Tamandua tetradactyla: one gene and its partner. The protein of the gene in region 2 purifies or fractionates together with the protein of the main gene of each other region. This does not show direct contact. Links are inferred from orthologs where the notes say so. Each region holds a gene or a part of one and is shown on either strand. Other genes may lie near its edges.

The links.
Region 1: the proteins of MAK (region 2) and KATNIP purify together in Homo sapiens (affinity purification with mass spectrometry; 3 studies listed by BioGRID and IntAct, with this or other methods). This does not show direct contact. The link is inferred for Tamandua tetradactyla from reciprocal best matches to the Homo sapiens genes MAK and KATNIP.

Annotation. Positions count from the first base shown.
Region 1 is NC_135349.1:25,965,066-25,973,162, forward strand, and holds the start of KATNIP (katanin-interacting protein), read right to left. Parts: upstream 3,126-8,097; 5' UTR 3,045-3,125; coding exon 2,937-3,044; intron 1-2,936. UniProt on the Homo sapiens protein: May influence the stability of microtubules (MT), possibly through interaction with the MT-severing katanin complex.
Region 2 is NC_135351.1:13,786,753-13,794,492, reverse strand, and holds the start of MAK (serine/threonine-protein kinase MAK), read left to right. Parts: upstream 1-4,662; 5' UTR 4,663-4,743; exon of another isoform or gene 4,744-4,837; intron 4,838-5,075; exon of another isoform or gene 5,076-5,208; intron 5,209-7,740. UniProt on the Homo sapiens protein: Essential for the regulation of ciliary length and required for the long-term survival of photoreceptors. Phosphorylates FZR1 in a cell cycle-dependent manner. Plays a role in the transcriptional coactivation of AR.

The sequences.
Region 1 (8,097 bases), on a different chromosome or scaffold from region 2:
GGGTAGGCTCTGGGTCAGCCTGTCTGGCTCCACTTGTCACCTGTTTGGGAATCTTAATCGTCCCCATTCCATTTAAGTTTATTGTCAGGGTTAAGACGGTACATGTAAAACACTTCTCGGTGCCCAGCACATACAGGTACTTGGCAGTTATTAGTTTCTTTACCCAGAAACTGTTATTCATGGATTCCAGCAAGTTCTGTTGAATTCTGCCTCCCAGATATACCCTGCATCCATGGGCGCCTTGGCACCATCCCTCTCCAAGCCTTCCTGATCTCTCATTGAACTTCAATATCCACCAGGTAGGTGTCCCTGTCTCCACTAGGGCCTGGCTTTTCCCACGGTGGCCATCTCTAAATACGGCCATATCTCATGCCTTCTTGACCCTCCAAAATTTCCCTCTGTGTGAAGAGAAGAATCCAAAATCCTTTCCCTGGCTGACCCCATGTGGGCTCCCGGACCTCACTCTTTTCTTTCTTCCCCTCCCTCACACTCACACCCTCAGAGCTGCACTGGCCTATCTTCTGCTTCTTGGATGTACAATTCCTTCCTGCCTCAGGGCCTTTGCCCTCACTGATCCCTTCTTGGAGGACTCTTACCTTCAGTCTCCTACAGGCTGGCTCCTTCTGACACATGGGCTCTCAACTGGAAGAGCCCTACTTCCTCAGAGGGGACCCGCCCCCATTTCTTCCTCCTTGGATCCTCTGCCCAGAGCTTATCTGAGCTTTCCCTTATGATTTGTGTGTTTGTGGTCTGTCTCCCCAGCTGAATCTCTGCTTTTCCACCACTGAACTCTCCACATCTGGAACAGTGGCTGGAAAGGAGTAGGGACCCGTCGACATGAACAGAATCGATGAATGAGTAAATGACCACATTTCTGAATGGACAATGTAGGAAGGGACAGGCGGTGTAATTATGAACTGCAGTAAAGACTTCATCTTCACTTGTAATGTGCCTTCCCGGCCCTTTCCCCTCACTATTTCTGGGATGGTGAAATGAAATATGACAAAGTAAGTTTAATACCCCAATGGAGATAATTGGAAAATATTGATTTTTTTCCCCATTTGGACTGTAAAGATAAGAAAATGCCACACTTATGTAATCTAATCAGTAGCTTATGTGACAGCACATTTCCCAGGCTGAAATGGACTTTGTTCTACCTCTCTATCCATCATATGAAGCTCCAAAATCCATTCCCACTTCACACCCTGATCTAATCCCATCCTCCCCATTGAATACAAGTATGGACAATCAATTTGTGAAACTATGTGTGTCTATGTGTATGTATCCAAATTAAAGAACTTTTGGAGTATCTACTCCCCCACCCCCAACCCCCCCCAAATCTGCCAAATTGCGCTGGGGAACACAGGAAATGGTGCATGAGATCCCCCAGAACCATAAGGAAAAATGCATCCCTTTCTCTGACAGCTAACTTTTACTAGAGCTTACCAAGTGCCATGTATCATTCTAAGAATTTTGAGTGGATGCATTAATTTGATCCTCATAGCAGTTCTACAGGAAGGTCCTATTATTATCTCCATTTTATAATTTAGGAGTCAAGGGCGGTACAACAGTGGCTTAGTGGCAGAATTCTCATCTGCCATGCCGGAGACCTGGGTTTGATTCCTGAAGGCTGCCCAAGCCAAAAAATAAAAAAGAAGTTTGAGTACTGAGAAATAAAATGTAATACCCCCAAGGTTACATGGCTGGTAGGAGGGGGAGCCAGAGTTCCAACCTCCTTAGTCTGATGCAATAAGCTCTGCTCTTCTGCAACTCTCCAGAATAAGAAGGCTTGGGATCCTGAGCAACAACACGAAAAGAGGGAAAGAAGAAGAGTTTAACCCTTTGCTCTGGTTTTCATGGTTTCCTTCTGCAGGCTTAAATGAAATCTCCATCACAAAGCAGAAGCTTCCACCCTGTGGGCTCTTTAGGAGGAAGGTTTTGCTGGTCTCACAACAGACCTGGGCCTTGTTCTCCTTACTCATGGGAGAATTAAGTGTCAGCGGGCACTTAATTCCCCTGTGCCTAAGCCTCAGAATCCGATAGATGACGGCGATCAGACCAGATCCAAAGTCTAGCTCACTGGCTGAAGCCAGCCTGCAGATGTTTGTCTGATCCCCCTAAGGTTTAAACAGAATGTTTTTTTCAGCCAACCTTTACAGCTTGGGTGAGCTGACATTTAAAAATCCTGATTTCTGGTTTCTTTTGAAAAACGAAAAGACCTGGCAACACAGGGCCTGTGTTCCTGCCTGGGTGCTGAGGGGCAGCGCCCTGATGGATGGCCCAGCATCTGCCAGTTCCCCACCTCTACCTCTCCCACTCTCTCCCAGCCATTGAGGCTAAGTCCCAGATGCCATTTATCGTCTTGCCTGAACAGTTTTCTTTACAGTAAAGATGAAAGTGAAAGTTCACATCTCCCGGCAAAAGTGAGATCATCATCACTGGAATCACCAGAGCACTAACGATTATACATGCAATTAGTGTGCGCCAGGTCCTGACGGAAGGATGGTGCCTCGAATCACTCATTTAATTCACCCAACAACCCTAGGAGGCCACACAATTATTATCCCATTTTATACATGGTGGAGAGAGGGAAGAGGCTGCATGCTTCAAGAAATTAGTAGACAACAGATTTCTTTATGAAAATGAAGACTATTCCGGGGTGTCAAATGAGCAAAATCTATTTGGGTGCTGAAAGAACCTAACATAAAGCAGCATAATTAAATAAACCCTGCCCACTGTCTCATTTACATTACCTGCCTGGCCCCTGCACTGGATCCTCAACATCTTCAGATATCCCAAGGTTCTACAAATGCGACCCTGGACTAGACTGGTTAAGTGCCCTCCTCCCCCAAGCTCTAACATCCTGTGATTTTAGGTGGGTTCATAAAATGCATCTCTAATAGTTTAAGACTCTGGAAAGGAAACACAACACATACCTGAAAACACAAACCTGCACAGGCAAGCACATATAATGTAGCACAAGTTTGCTTAGAGTTCTGAAGTGTGTGGTCCCTGTGGGGGTTCTGTAGCTGCTGAGCTGACATGCATGGCACCTTCCCTCCCTGCCGGCTGCCTCACCACATGGGCCTTTATGACCCACAAAGGACACGTGAAGACAGGGGCTGTCTCCAGAGAATCCATCAGCTATGGGAGGTCAAGGTAGCAGCAGGCTCCAAAGTGAGGTGGGAGGTGGGAGTAAAAGTGACTTCATTGGGAAAGGAAATGGAGGGAGGATGGGAAAAGTAGGTGGAGTGTGGTGGTATGGAGCTGTAAGTACTATAGAAAAATATGTTCTGAAAATTAAACCATTCCTGTGGATGTGAATTCATTATAAGTAGGACATTTTGATGAAGTTACTTCAATTAAGGTGTGGCCCACCTCAATCAGGATAGGTCCTAAGTCTATTACTGGAATCTTTAAAAGAGGGATGAAATTCAGACAAAACGAGAAAGCCACAGAGGGAACTTTCAATTTCAAAAGCTGAACATCAGTAGAACCTGGAAGAGAAGATGCTGCCATGTGCCTTGCCATGTGACAAGCTAAGAAACAAGGATCACCAGCAGCCAGTCCCAGAATTCAGGAACTCCTGAATTCTGTATTCTCCTGTATTCAGGGAGAAAATATCACTTTGATGATGCCATGATTTGGTCTCTGTCCTAGGCTCAAAACAAAGAGCAAATGAATTCCCGTAGTTTATGCTAGCCATTTTATAGTATTTGCTCGAGCAGCCTAGGAGACTAAAGAGGAAGAAAAGAATGAAAACAGAGGCTAAGGGGTATAGTAAAAAGTGACTAGGATTGGAAATATTACTCCAAGTGGGCTTAATCTAAAGGACACTGTCTGGAGGGACCATACCCCTCCACTAAACCAGCAAAGGCCTCTGAGAACTGGGCCTGGAGGTTTGGCTTTGGATACAAGGGCCTTTACTCTGTCTGCCAGCAATGCACCGAGGGAAAAGTTGGTTAATCTCTTTCCTGGTTACACTCCTGGGCCTTTTTCTGTGCTAGTCTTGGTGCCAAGTGTTGAACACACAAAGGAACAAGAGTAGGTTTCTGCTCTCAAAGAAGGAAAAGGCATGGAGCCCAATGACTCTGATGCAATGCTGCATAAAAAGCTGTGGGATCCCACCAGGCAGGAGGAGCTCATTCTGCAGGTGGTGCCAGCTGCTGTGATCTACAGCAGGAGGTGTCATGAGAGAATGGTGAAGTTGGCAAGGAGCACGGTCAGGGCCAAGGCTGTGCCTAAGAGATGGCTAGCGTTATGAGGTAACTTGGGCAGGCATTGAAATCTCAAGTGCCTCCAGGGCTAGGCCAGTGGTATCAACGCAAGAAGTGGGCACCTGGTGACTGGTACCACCAACCAAACTGTCAGCATGTATCCAGGGTCAAGGGAGTGGGCACTAGCAGGGCCAAAGCATCCTGTTCTTCAAGAAAAACTGAGCAGTCCAGGTTTTATGTTAAATCTCTATTTTTAAATATAAGAAAACTCTCCTATGGCCCCAGTTCAGTCCAGTATAAAACCTCTGGGCATGACTGTGGGTTGGTGACCGTGTAAAGATGAGGCTGGAGATCAGCAGAACAGCCAAGTGGGGGATGCGAAGGGGAAATGCTTCTCCAGGGGAATTCTCCAATTAAAGATGATATGTCTATAGGGCAACTGTGAAGGCCACAAGGTCAGGCTGTTCAAAAATCCCATGGGCACCAGTAGGCAGGCCAATGCGATTAAGAACAACTGGCAATTGCTTCATCTTATTTAAAGTGCTCTGCAAACAGCTTTGAGATTTTCTTTCCTGCCACATCGCTGCTCCTGAGCCCTTTCCTACTTGGAGACAGAGGAGCAGCCACAGGGTCAAACCCCAAGGGAGTTGAGAAGGCAGTAGAGGGCAGGGCCTTTAAAACAGCATTTGCCGGTTTGAAAGGATGTATGTACCATAGAAAAGCCATGTTTTAATCTTAATTCCATTTAGTGAAGGCAGTTGTTTCTTCTAATTCCTATTCAGTACTGTGTGTTTGAAACTTTAATTAGATTATCTTCCTGGAGATGTGACTCAATCAAGAGTGGTTCTTAAATTGGATTAGGTGGAGACATGTCTCCACCCATTCTAGGTGGATCTTGATTACTTTACTGGAATCCTATAAAAGGGAGATTCTAAGAGAGCAGAGAATGACATAGCCATGAGAAGCAGAGTCCACCAGCCAGTGACCTTTGGAGATGAAGAAGGAAAACACTTCCCAGGGAGCTTCATGAAACAGGAAGCCAGGAGAGAAAACTAGCAGATGACCCCATGTTTGCCACATGGCTTTCCAGATGAAAATAGTCAAAACTTGACTGTGTTTGCTATGTGCCTTCTCACTTGAGAGAGAAACCCTGAACTTCATCAGCCTTCTTGAACCAAGGTATCTTTTCCTGGACAATTTAGATTGGATATTACTATAGACTTGTTTTAATTGGAACATTTTCTAGGTCTTAGAACTATAAACTTGCAACTTATTAAATTCCATTTTTTAAAAAGCCATTCAGTTTCTGCTATATTGCATTCTGGCAGCTAGCAAACTAGAACAGATTTTGGTACTGAGAGCGGGGTGCTGCTGTGGTTTGCAAATACCAAACATGTTGGAATGGCTTTTTAAATGGATGGGGGGAGGATTCTGGAAGAGTTATAAAGAGCTTGATAAAGAAGACCTAGAATGCTTTGAAGAGACTGTTTGTAGAAATGTGGACTCTTTAGAGTCTTCTGATAAAGTCTTAGACAGAAATAAGGCACATATTATTATAGACTGGGAGGAAAGCAATCCTTGTTTTAAAATGGCAGATAATCTGGCAAACTTGACTAGTGGCTTTGGCTGGAAGGCAGATTTTAAAAACCATGAACTTGGATATTTAGCCAAAGAGATCTCCAAATAAAATGTGGAAAGTGCAACTTGGTTCCTCCTCACAGCTTACAGTGACATGCAACAAGAGAGAGAGAAGCTGAGAACTGAACTCTTGAGTACAAAGAAACCAGAAATTGATGTTCTGGAAAATTCTGGGCTTCTAGAAAGGGAGACCCCAGAGAATAGTGCCCCATGTGAGGGGTTGGCCAAATGTGAAACCAGTCAGCCATTTCAGAGAGAGCCAGGATTGGACATGGAGTTATCCAGGAAGGGTTTGTGGAAACTCCTTATGTCTGACGGGCATGATCCAAGGCTACTGCATAGAAAGCCAATGAGAGCGTTGTGGGATCTGTATAAAGAGAACCACTGCTAGTCGGGACTGAGAATGACAGAGAAGGGACACACTGGAGGAAAAATAACTTCAGAGGCAAAGCCAAGGAGGCTGGGGTCTGAAATCAGGAAGCCTTGGGCCAGGAGAGTGGATGCACCCAAGTAGGTGGAGAGGGTGAGTTTACCCCAAAGGCAGAGGGTGGGCCTTCCACCTGGTTGCAGTGGGATGCCTCAGGCCTTGGAGAGGGTGAAGCATGTTCCTTGGGGTTTGGGGAGAGCCTGGCTGCCACTAAAGGGAGGGGTTGAACATGTGTCCTGGAGATGGCAGAGAGCCCAGGTGTAGACCCCGATCCTTGGAGAAGGTGGAGCTGGGAAAAAGGTGGTCTCCTCAATGTCCCCCAAAGTTGCATTCAGAGAGAGGCAGGCCTCTGCGAAGGCCTTTGGAAAGGGTGGGACTGTTGCTTTCTAAAACCTTGAAGATAAATGACTCTCAGACTTTGAAATCTAATGGACTTTGCCCTGCAGGTTTTCGAAAAATATATGGGTCCAGTGACCCCTGTGTTCCTTCCAATTCCTCCCTATGGAAATGGGTATAGGTATCCTATGACTGTTCCTCCTTTGTATGTTGGCAGCAAATAACTTGTCTTGAATCAAGGTCCAGAGCCAGAGGAGAATTTCTCTTTAAGACAGACTATGCCTGTAACTAACTTTGATAGGAGTTTGCACTGTTTCTAACTTTGTATTTCATTTGTATTGCTACTGAAATGGTTTAAGGATTTCTGATATTATGATGGAATTAATGTATTTTGTATATGGGGAAAACATGTCTTTTTTTTTAGGGTCCAGAGGGTATAATGTGCCAGTTGAAAGGAGGTATGTACCCTAGAAAAGCCATGTTTTAATCCTAATCCCATTTTAGTAAAGGCAGCCATTTCTTCTAATCCCTATTCAGTACTGTGTGTTTGAAACTTTAATTAGATCATCTTCCTGGAGATGTGACTCAATCAAGAGTGGTTCTTAAGCTGGATTAGGTGGAAACGTGTCTCCACCCATTCTAGGTGGATCTTGATCAATTTACTAGAATCCTATAAAAGGGAGCTTCTAAGAGAGCAGAGAATGACATAGCCATGAGAAGCAGAGTCCACCAACCAGTGACCTTTGGAGATGAAGAAGGAAAATGCCTCCCAGGGAGCTTCATGAAACAGGAAGCCAGGAGAGAAAGGTAGCAGATGATGCCCTGTTTGCCACCTGCCTTTCCAGATGAAAACAGTCTAAACCTGACTGTGTTTGCCATGTGCCTTCTCACTTGAGAGAGAAACCCTGAACTTCATCAGCCTTCTTGAACCAAGGTATCTTTCCCTGGACACCTTAGATTGGATATTTCTATAGACTTGTTTTAATTGGGACATTTTCTTGGCCTTAGAACTGTTAACTTGCAACTTATTAAATTCCCCTTTTTTAAAAGCCATTCAGTTTCTGCTATATTGCATTCTGGCAGCTAGCAAACTAGAACACAGTGTTTATTTCTTAGCCAACATAGTGGGCAGGCTTTGCCCCAGACCCTTTCCCCAGATGTGAGAACCTGGTCAAATACTGGCAGGGGGATGGTGAAACAAGCTTTTGATGACATTCTATGGATGCTTCATCCTGTTGACTCCTGGCTTTGCTACCTACTCACTGTGAGCCATAAAATGGGCACAATTATATAATTGTTGTATTGGGCCACCTCGAGAATGAAATGAGATTCACCATGGCAGGGGATCAGCAAACCGTTCCTGAAAAGGGCCAGCTGGTCAATCGTTTTTGACTCGGCAGGCCATATGGTCTCAGTTGCTGTAGCATGAAAGCAGTCATTATGACACAGATACAAATGGGCAAGGCTGGGTTCTAGTAA
Region 2 (7,740 bases):
ATATTAGATGATAGTATTTTATCAGTGCTAAACTCCCAGAATTTGATGATCATATTCTGGTTATTGTAAAAGAACATCCTTGTTCTTAGGAGTGAACGGTGACTGTGCCTGCAACTAACCATGAAATGGTTCAGCAAGAATAAGATTAAAAACAACAGTGGCTACAAACAATAGTAATAATAATAGATGCAGAGAGAGAAAGCAAATGTGTCGAAATCCAGGTGCAGGGTATATGAGTGTTCAGTACGCTATTCTTGCAACTTTTCTGTAGGCTTGGAATATTTCAAAATGTAAGTTAGAAACAAAATAAAATTAAACAGAAGGGATGATTTCAAAAGAAAATTGGGGGATTTAAAATTTTTGCTTGGCTATCTGAACTTCCCCCAAATTCCAAGACAATACAAATAAAATGTGGGTGAGGATAAACTCTAGTATTTTGTTTTTTTACACAAGACTGTGGCAAATGGACTTTCCACGAGGATCTCACAGTTCCTGTGCCCAGAGAATACTCAGAATGTATTTTCTGTGGCCTGTGGAGGGACACAGGAAATAAAAACATTTGTTGAATGGGAGGGACTAAATCTGGTATGGCATCTAAGATAACATCTAAGATAACCATGTGTTCTGGTTTGCTAGCTGCCGGAATGCAACACACCAGAGATGGATTGGCTTTTAATAAAAGGGGATTGATTTTGTTAGTTCTTCAGAGGAAAGGCAGCTAACTTTCCACTGAGGTTCTTTCTTACGTGGGAGGCACAGGATGGTCTCGCTGGTCTTCTCTCCAGGCCCCTGGGTTCCAACAACTTTCCCCGGGGTGACTTCTTTCTGCATCTCCAAAGGCCTGGGCTGAGCTGCTAGTGCTGAGATGAGGAATGCCGAGCTGCTTAGCTGTGCTACCTTGCGATCTCTCATTTAAGCACCAGCCAATTAAGTCAAATGTCACTTATTGCAACAGACACGCCTCCTAGCCGACTGCAGATGTAATTAGCAACAGATGAGGTTCACTAACATTGGCTTATGTCCGCAGCAACAAAACTGGCCAAGTTGACAACTGAATCTAACTAACACACCATGCCCTCATTTAAGCTATAGTGATTTATTAACATTCACTTTTTTTTTAAACTCTGGAAACACAAACACATGCAGTCAAATCACATGAACAGTTGAAGAAATTGTATAAAAGGAGAAGATAGGTAGGGAAAGAAAACAGAACTCAAGCTTTAAGGCTAGAATACAATCATACACCTTAAAAGTTCATGCACCTTAAGAATATTTGTGTTTAAAAAATTTTTTTTTAAAAAGTTCATGCACCATTTCTGGAGATGTGCTACAAATTTTTCCTTTGGAAGGGATGAGAAAAACAATGCAGGAGAAAGATGTTTTTCCTGGTATGGAATCCTCCTTAATCTTACCTTAGTTGCATGCATCTGTTATAATGCCCTGTTACTCCATATTTCCCAATACCAAATAATCATATTTTTGAAGAAAGTAGATACTCCTGCTTAAAAGAGATCTCACTGTGTCGCATGTTCACAAAGACAGCAAACCACAACCAACCAAAGCAACAAAAAACAAGAAAGAGGAGGAGGACGACAAAATCAGCTATTTAGAAACAACTGGCAGGTCTCCTCAGAGATACGCCTGAATCTAAGGCGAGGACAGTGAATATAGAAGACAAGCCAGGGGCATCTTATAGTGCTAGAAAGCAAGAAAATGCTAAAAAAAACAAACCCACAATGATGGGGTATGTCAAAGTGACCTAGGAATGGTCTGAAAGAACTCTCAAAGCTGGAATATTTTGAGCAACAAAATACAGTAGAATTAGATTATGAACCAAAGTATAAAACAAATATCCATGAGTCCACTGAAATGAATAAGTAAATGGCTCAATAAAAGGGGAGCAAAGAGAAAAATCTCTTGTTTCAGTTTCCTGGGCTGTGCAAGCAAATACCATGCCATGGGTCGGTTTAAACAATGGGAATTTATTTGCTCACAGTTTTGAGGCTAAAAGAAAGTCAAAATCAAGGTGTCAACAAGGTGATGCCTTCTTCCCAAAAGACTGGCATTCTGGGACTGGCTGCTGTTGATCCTTGGTCTTTGGCTTCTAGGTCACATGGCAGTGTACATGGCAACCTTTCCTGGCCTCTGTGCTTGAATTTCAGCTTTTTGCTTCCTATGGCTTTCTCTCTCTCTCTCTGAGTTTCGCCAACCACACCTTAACTAAAGTAGCCTCATCAAAAGGCCCAACTTACAGCAGGTCCACACCCACAGGAATGGACTAGTTTTAAGAACTTGTTTTTCTGGGGTATATATAGCTTCAAACCACCACATGGCCCATGTAGAATTTCAGATAGTTTACGTAGAAACTCTGTCCTCAAAGAGGTAGTGCTTCACTCCCCACTCCTTAAGTGGCATCTGCACAGAGCGCAGCCTTCTAAAGTGCACAAAATAGGGCGAGGAGGACAATTAACTTTACAGAGGAGAAACCTGACAAACACTACCTCAGCCAGGTGGTCAAGGCCACCATCCACAGCGATAACTCCTATTGATGCATGTATCTTGGTTTGATGAGATGAGAATGGCACTTTACCTCAGTGGATTTCCTCCCCTGAAACCATAACCACAGTCTAACCCTAAGAAAAACACCAGACAAACCCAACTGAGGGACATTCTACAAAACACCTGATGGATTCTCCTCAAAATGTTCAAGGTCATTGTGGTAATTAGGTTCAGGTGTTAATTTGGCCAGGTGTTGATGCCCCGTTGTTCTGTTGTGTGAACTTCAATCATTAGCATGTGGGATTCATCTATGGCTGACTACATCTGCAGTCAGCTAAGGGGAGTGCCTTGGGCAATGAGTGATATTTAATTTAATTAGCTGGAGGCTTAAAAGAAGAGGTCAGCAGCGAGCGCAACACAGCTCAGCCCACCTCAGCTCTTTCAGCTCAGCACTTTCAGCTCAGCCCAGACGTTTGGAGCTGCAGAAAGGAATTACCCTGGGGAAGCTGTTGGAACCCAGAAGCTGGGAGAGAAGGCCAGCAGAGATCAACCTGTGCCTTCCTGTGTAAGGGAGAACCACAGAAGAAAGGTAGCCTCCTTTCCTCAGAAGAACTATGTTTTTAACTAAATAAATCCCCTTTTATTAAAAGCTAATCCATCTCTGGTATATCGCATTCCAGCAACTTGGCAAACTAACACAGTCATCAAAAAAAGGAAACTAAGGAACTGTCACAGCCAAAAGGAGTCGGAGAAGACACGATGACTAAATGTAAAGTGCTACCTGGATGGGAGTCTGGATAAAAGGACATTAGAGAAAACTGAGGAAAACTAAGGAAATATGATTAAAGTATGGACCCTAATGAACATAATGTATCAGTATTGGTTCCTTAGTTGTCCCAAATATCCTATAGTAATATAAGATGCTAATAGTAGGGGAAGCTGGGTGTAGGGTCTGTGATCTCTTTGCAACTTTTCTGTAAATATAAAATTATTCCCAAACTAAGTTTATTAAAAATCTTGTTGATGGCTTGACATTTCCTCTGATTCTAATCATAAGTAAGTAAACTCCCATTCCTTAGGCTGAACCATTTCATGGTATTTGCTTTAAATAGCCTAAGGAACTAAAACAGAAGACAGAATGGAAGCAGATGACCAGTTAATAGGCAGTCACAATTATCCAGGTGAGAGCTGAAGTTGCTTGGATGAGGATGGTGGCAGTCACAATTATCCAGGTGAGAGCTGAAGTTGCTTGGATGAGGATGGTGGCAGTCTGGGGTGGAGTTTTTAAAAATGTAATTCTGCTCACATCATTTCCTGCTTAATTCCCTGCAAAGATTTCCCATACACATAGAATAAAATCTGAACTCCTGGGCCCTGACTACTCTGCCCATCTCATCCGGTCCTGTTTCCCCCCTCTGGTACACACGCCTACTGTTCCCTTTCCTGTGTGGTATCCCTGGCCCTGGACTTTACGTGGCTGGTTCCTTCCTTCCCTCAGGTCTTGGTTTAAATGTCCATCCTCAGAAAGACAGTGTTGCAATTCCCCGCCCCATCCCCACCCCATACCAAGAACAGAGCCTGGCATGTAGTAGGTGCTCAATGAGATCTAAGAAACTTTATTTTTCCCTTTTGCTCCTCTGAAAATAACAACAAAAAGGCAGGAATGATGCCACTGGCACTGCTTTCGCAGCTGTATACTCTAAAACCCCAACTGGCCCCAGAGTTACCTCCAGCCTCCACACCAATCCCCTTCTTTTTTGCTTACTTCAGGAGTTATTTTCCCCTGTCAGAAGCTAATTTCCCCTCCTGTCCTCTATACCCATACTTGAGGGATTGACCAAGAAGAGCAGTCTGTCCCCAGGCAGTATGTGAAAATAGAAGTCGCGGCAAACATATGCCTTTTTCTTCCGCTTCTGTCCAATCTGGGAACCAGCTTTTACTAATCAAGACTTTATAGAATGAATCGGACGGAAAGCGAACAAACGAAAAGACCAAACGGGGCAAACAAACCAGCTGCGACAAAGAACTGAAAAACTAGCCAAGACTCTCCCGAACCTCAAATCCGAAGGGCCCAGAAAACTAGTTCAACAGGGGTCTCCTGTTAAGCCCCGCCCCCGGGAGGCGGTCCTGGGCGTGGCTTCCCCGGCATGGTCCCGCCCCCTTCCCAGTAGGGCCAGAGCGCGCCCGGCGGTTGCCTAGGAGATGAAACACAGGACGCCAGAGCTTCACCAGGGAGCGAACGAGGTAAGCGGCGGGCGCGGGCAGGTAGTCCAGTCCTGCGAGGCCGGCCCGGCCTGGCCCCCGCCAACCTCCGCCGAGAACCCGGGCCCGGACGCCGGTAGGGGAGGGACGGAGGGAGGAGGGTCCTGGAGGGGGCGGGGCGCCTGGGAAGGGGGCGCTCCTGCCGGCTGACCGGGGCTCCCCGAGGCCCCCGGGACGGTTCCCTTCTCTCCTAGACTGCGGGGTCGGCGCCGGGGGGCGGGGTGGGGGGTCGGAGGGGGCTTTCCGTGATCGGAGCGATCCCGACCCAATCCCCCCACCCGGCTGGACTGGAGGGGACGGTTCTCCCTGGAGGAGGGCGGGGCGGGATCGGGTCCCGGAAGACGGTGGAGTTGAGTTCAGAAGAGTCGAAGAACAGAAAGGGAGAGGGAGAAAGATAAACCTGGGTCCACATGCCGTCCGCGATCTAGCACCCCAAATGACACGCAGGTAAACGCGGGATCCCCGCGCAGGGGGCGCCAGGGGACTGCAAGCGACCCCTTCTCCATAAACCCGCCACCCCCCGCCCCGCGAGTCTTTTAACGGCCCTGATTTGTGGGAAAGGATCAGACCATCCATGAAAACGAAAACTTTCTTTACTGCAGATTAGACGTTTTAATTTGCGGACAGGGCCAAACATAGAGTTTTGACGGAGTGGGGTAACATACAATTGAGCTTTAGTGGCCAGGACTCTCAATTCTAAAAGGAAAGAGATTCTGATTGTGTTTAGACACTTTTTTAGAATGAGCAGCACTTATTCTAATGATAACGAAATTTTCATCGAAGGAACCAAAAGTTCTCCGACTGATTTTGAGCAGAAAGTAAGATCAGAAAAAACAACCTATTAAGGCGAAACAGTGGTGTGGGCAAAAAGTCACATTCCAGGCTTTTGAGCTCCCTTTATCTTCCCCCACCCTCCAAGGGAGAACCGTTCTTCCTCTGAAAAGGAACAGTTTACTGCTTTTACTACACAAAGCTGGCCTTGGGCAGGGATGTTTGAACTCTTCTGGGGTGGTTTTGTTTTGTTTTTAAATGATTTGTAAACATTGGCACAGAGCACTGTACCTTTTCGTCTTTTTTGAAGACAGGACCGTTTCTTCCTCATTATTTTGATTTTTTTTCCGTTTTGTTTTTTAAACTTAGCGATTTTTAAAACATCAATTACCTTTTCTTTTTCTTTCTTTTTTTTACATTAATGCCAGTTTTGGAGTGATATCATTACAGTGTGTTCTATAAAGACAAGTTGAGGACATCTAAAACGTTACCTCTTCAGTGACTGTCAGCTGCTTATTTTACCCTTCATTTGCCCTCTATGTTAATCTTCTTTAATCCCGTATGAATCCCTTATTAGCTGACAGAAGCTGTTGAGAAGAAAGCTTAAGTTTACCATAATTATGCACTTAGAGAAACAGTAATTGTGCACTTAGGTAAAAGTAAGAACCAGAATGGGAGAAAAATTATAAGGGTATTGATTTAACATAGATCAGTAATCGAACCTCTAAATAAATGTCTTTTATTTAAATCAGAATGTAAGGTTTGTTTACCTCGTAGAAGAGTCAATAAATATTGTAGCTTGATTGTAAAAAAAAAAAAACTCCAGCAGAATTCCTATCAGTTCTATTAAATTAATTGACATTCATAGCATATTACATTTGTTTGTTGTATATATAGATAGAAAGCTAGATACATATGTATGTTTTTATATATATTTTTTTAGAAATGAGATAGTATATATTTTTATATGATTTTTATATATTCATGTATGCAAGAAATTGTTACTACATCCCTATTTGCAGAATTAGCTTTCCATAGATCAACAGAGAGGAATATATATAACTTATTGAAAAATATTATTGTTGTTCATGAACGAGGGACCATAGAAAGCCTGTATTTTCTTAAATTACATATTGTGGTTTTGACTAATATGAATCGGTTCGGGACCATGCTATGCTACTCAGATAGAAGTAGCTGTTTATGTGCTATCAGTGAATGGGGAAATGGGAATAATAAAAATGACACCTTCATCTTTGTATCTGCGCTTTTATACATGAGGCCATTGCCTCTGTGTTTTCAGGAGGATAGAGGGGACGGTGGAAATGGTCAGCTTCTAGAGAGAGTCTTATTTTGTAATTAATCTGGCTCAAAATAGGCCTTTCCAAAGTTTTTGCTTAGCACAGAGTACTTAAATGCATTTCACTTCAGGCGAACTGGTGGAGCTCAAATGGGACAGATTCTTACAGGGCCACAAATCTGAACTTTAAAAAAAATTTTCTGTCATACCCATAATCTCCTCCACTCCATCCCTCCAACAGAAGGAAGCGGGGAAATAGCCACGCCCTTTGTTTATTCTTCCCCAAGCGAAGGTACACCCTATCCTATAGCCATCCTCAGTTTAAACAAGATTGGTGTTTATTTGGAAGACGGTTCCTTAGACTTAGAATGCAGTTTCCCCAACAGCCTACTCCAAACACTGCCGGGGCTTCCAGGCCAGTGCACAAAGTCACCGCCTGCTGCATGCCCCGTTGGTGCCAAAGGTGCTGGTACCGGGAGGGCCACCCTTCCCAGCCTGGGCTGGTGGGATGGCCTTAATATTATGGAAGAGGAAGAGAAAATTAGCTCCATCACTTTTGCAGGTTGTTGAGCCAATGTGGGGTTAAAATGTTGACGAGGACTTCTGGCAGTCTTGCCTCTGAATTTCTGTTCCCACCTCTTCTCCCCACCCCCATGTTAGTGGGAGCAGCTCTCTCATTCATTCCCTTCTCAGGCAATATGTCCTTTTCCAGAATCGCCTCCATTACTTAGCAGGCCCTCAGTGCTTGTTGTCCTAGATGAGGTGTCAACATGAAAATAATTTGGCTTAAAAAAAAAAAAGATGCTGCTGTTATCCCATTAAATTTCTTAATTTGGTAATTTTCATGAGGGAAGGTCCAGCTATGCTCCCTTCTCCCGTAAGTGGCAGGTCCTAAGGTCTCACGCTTTCTT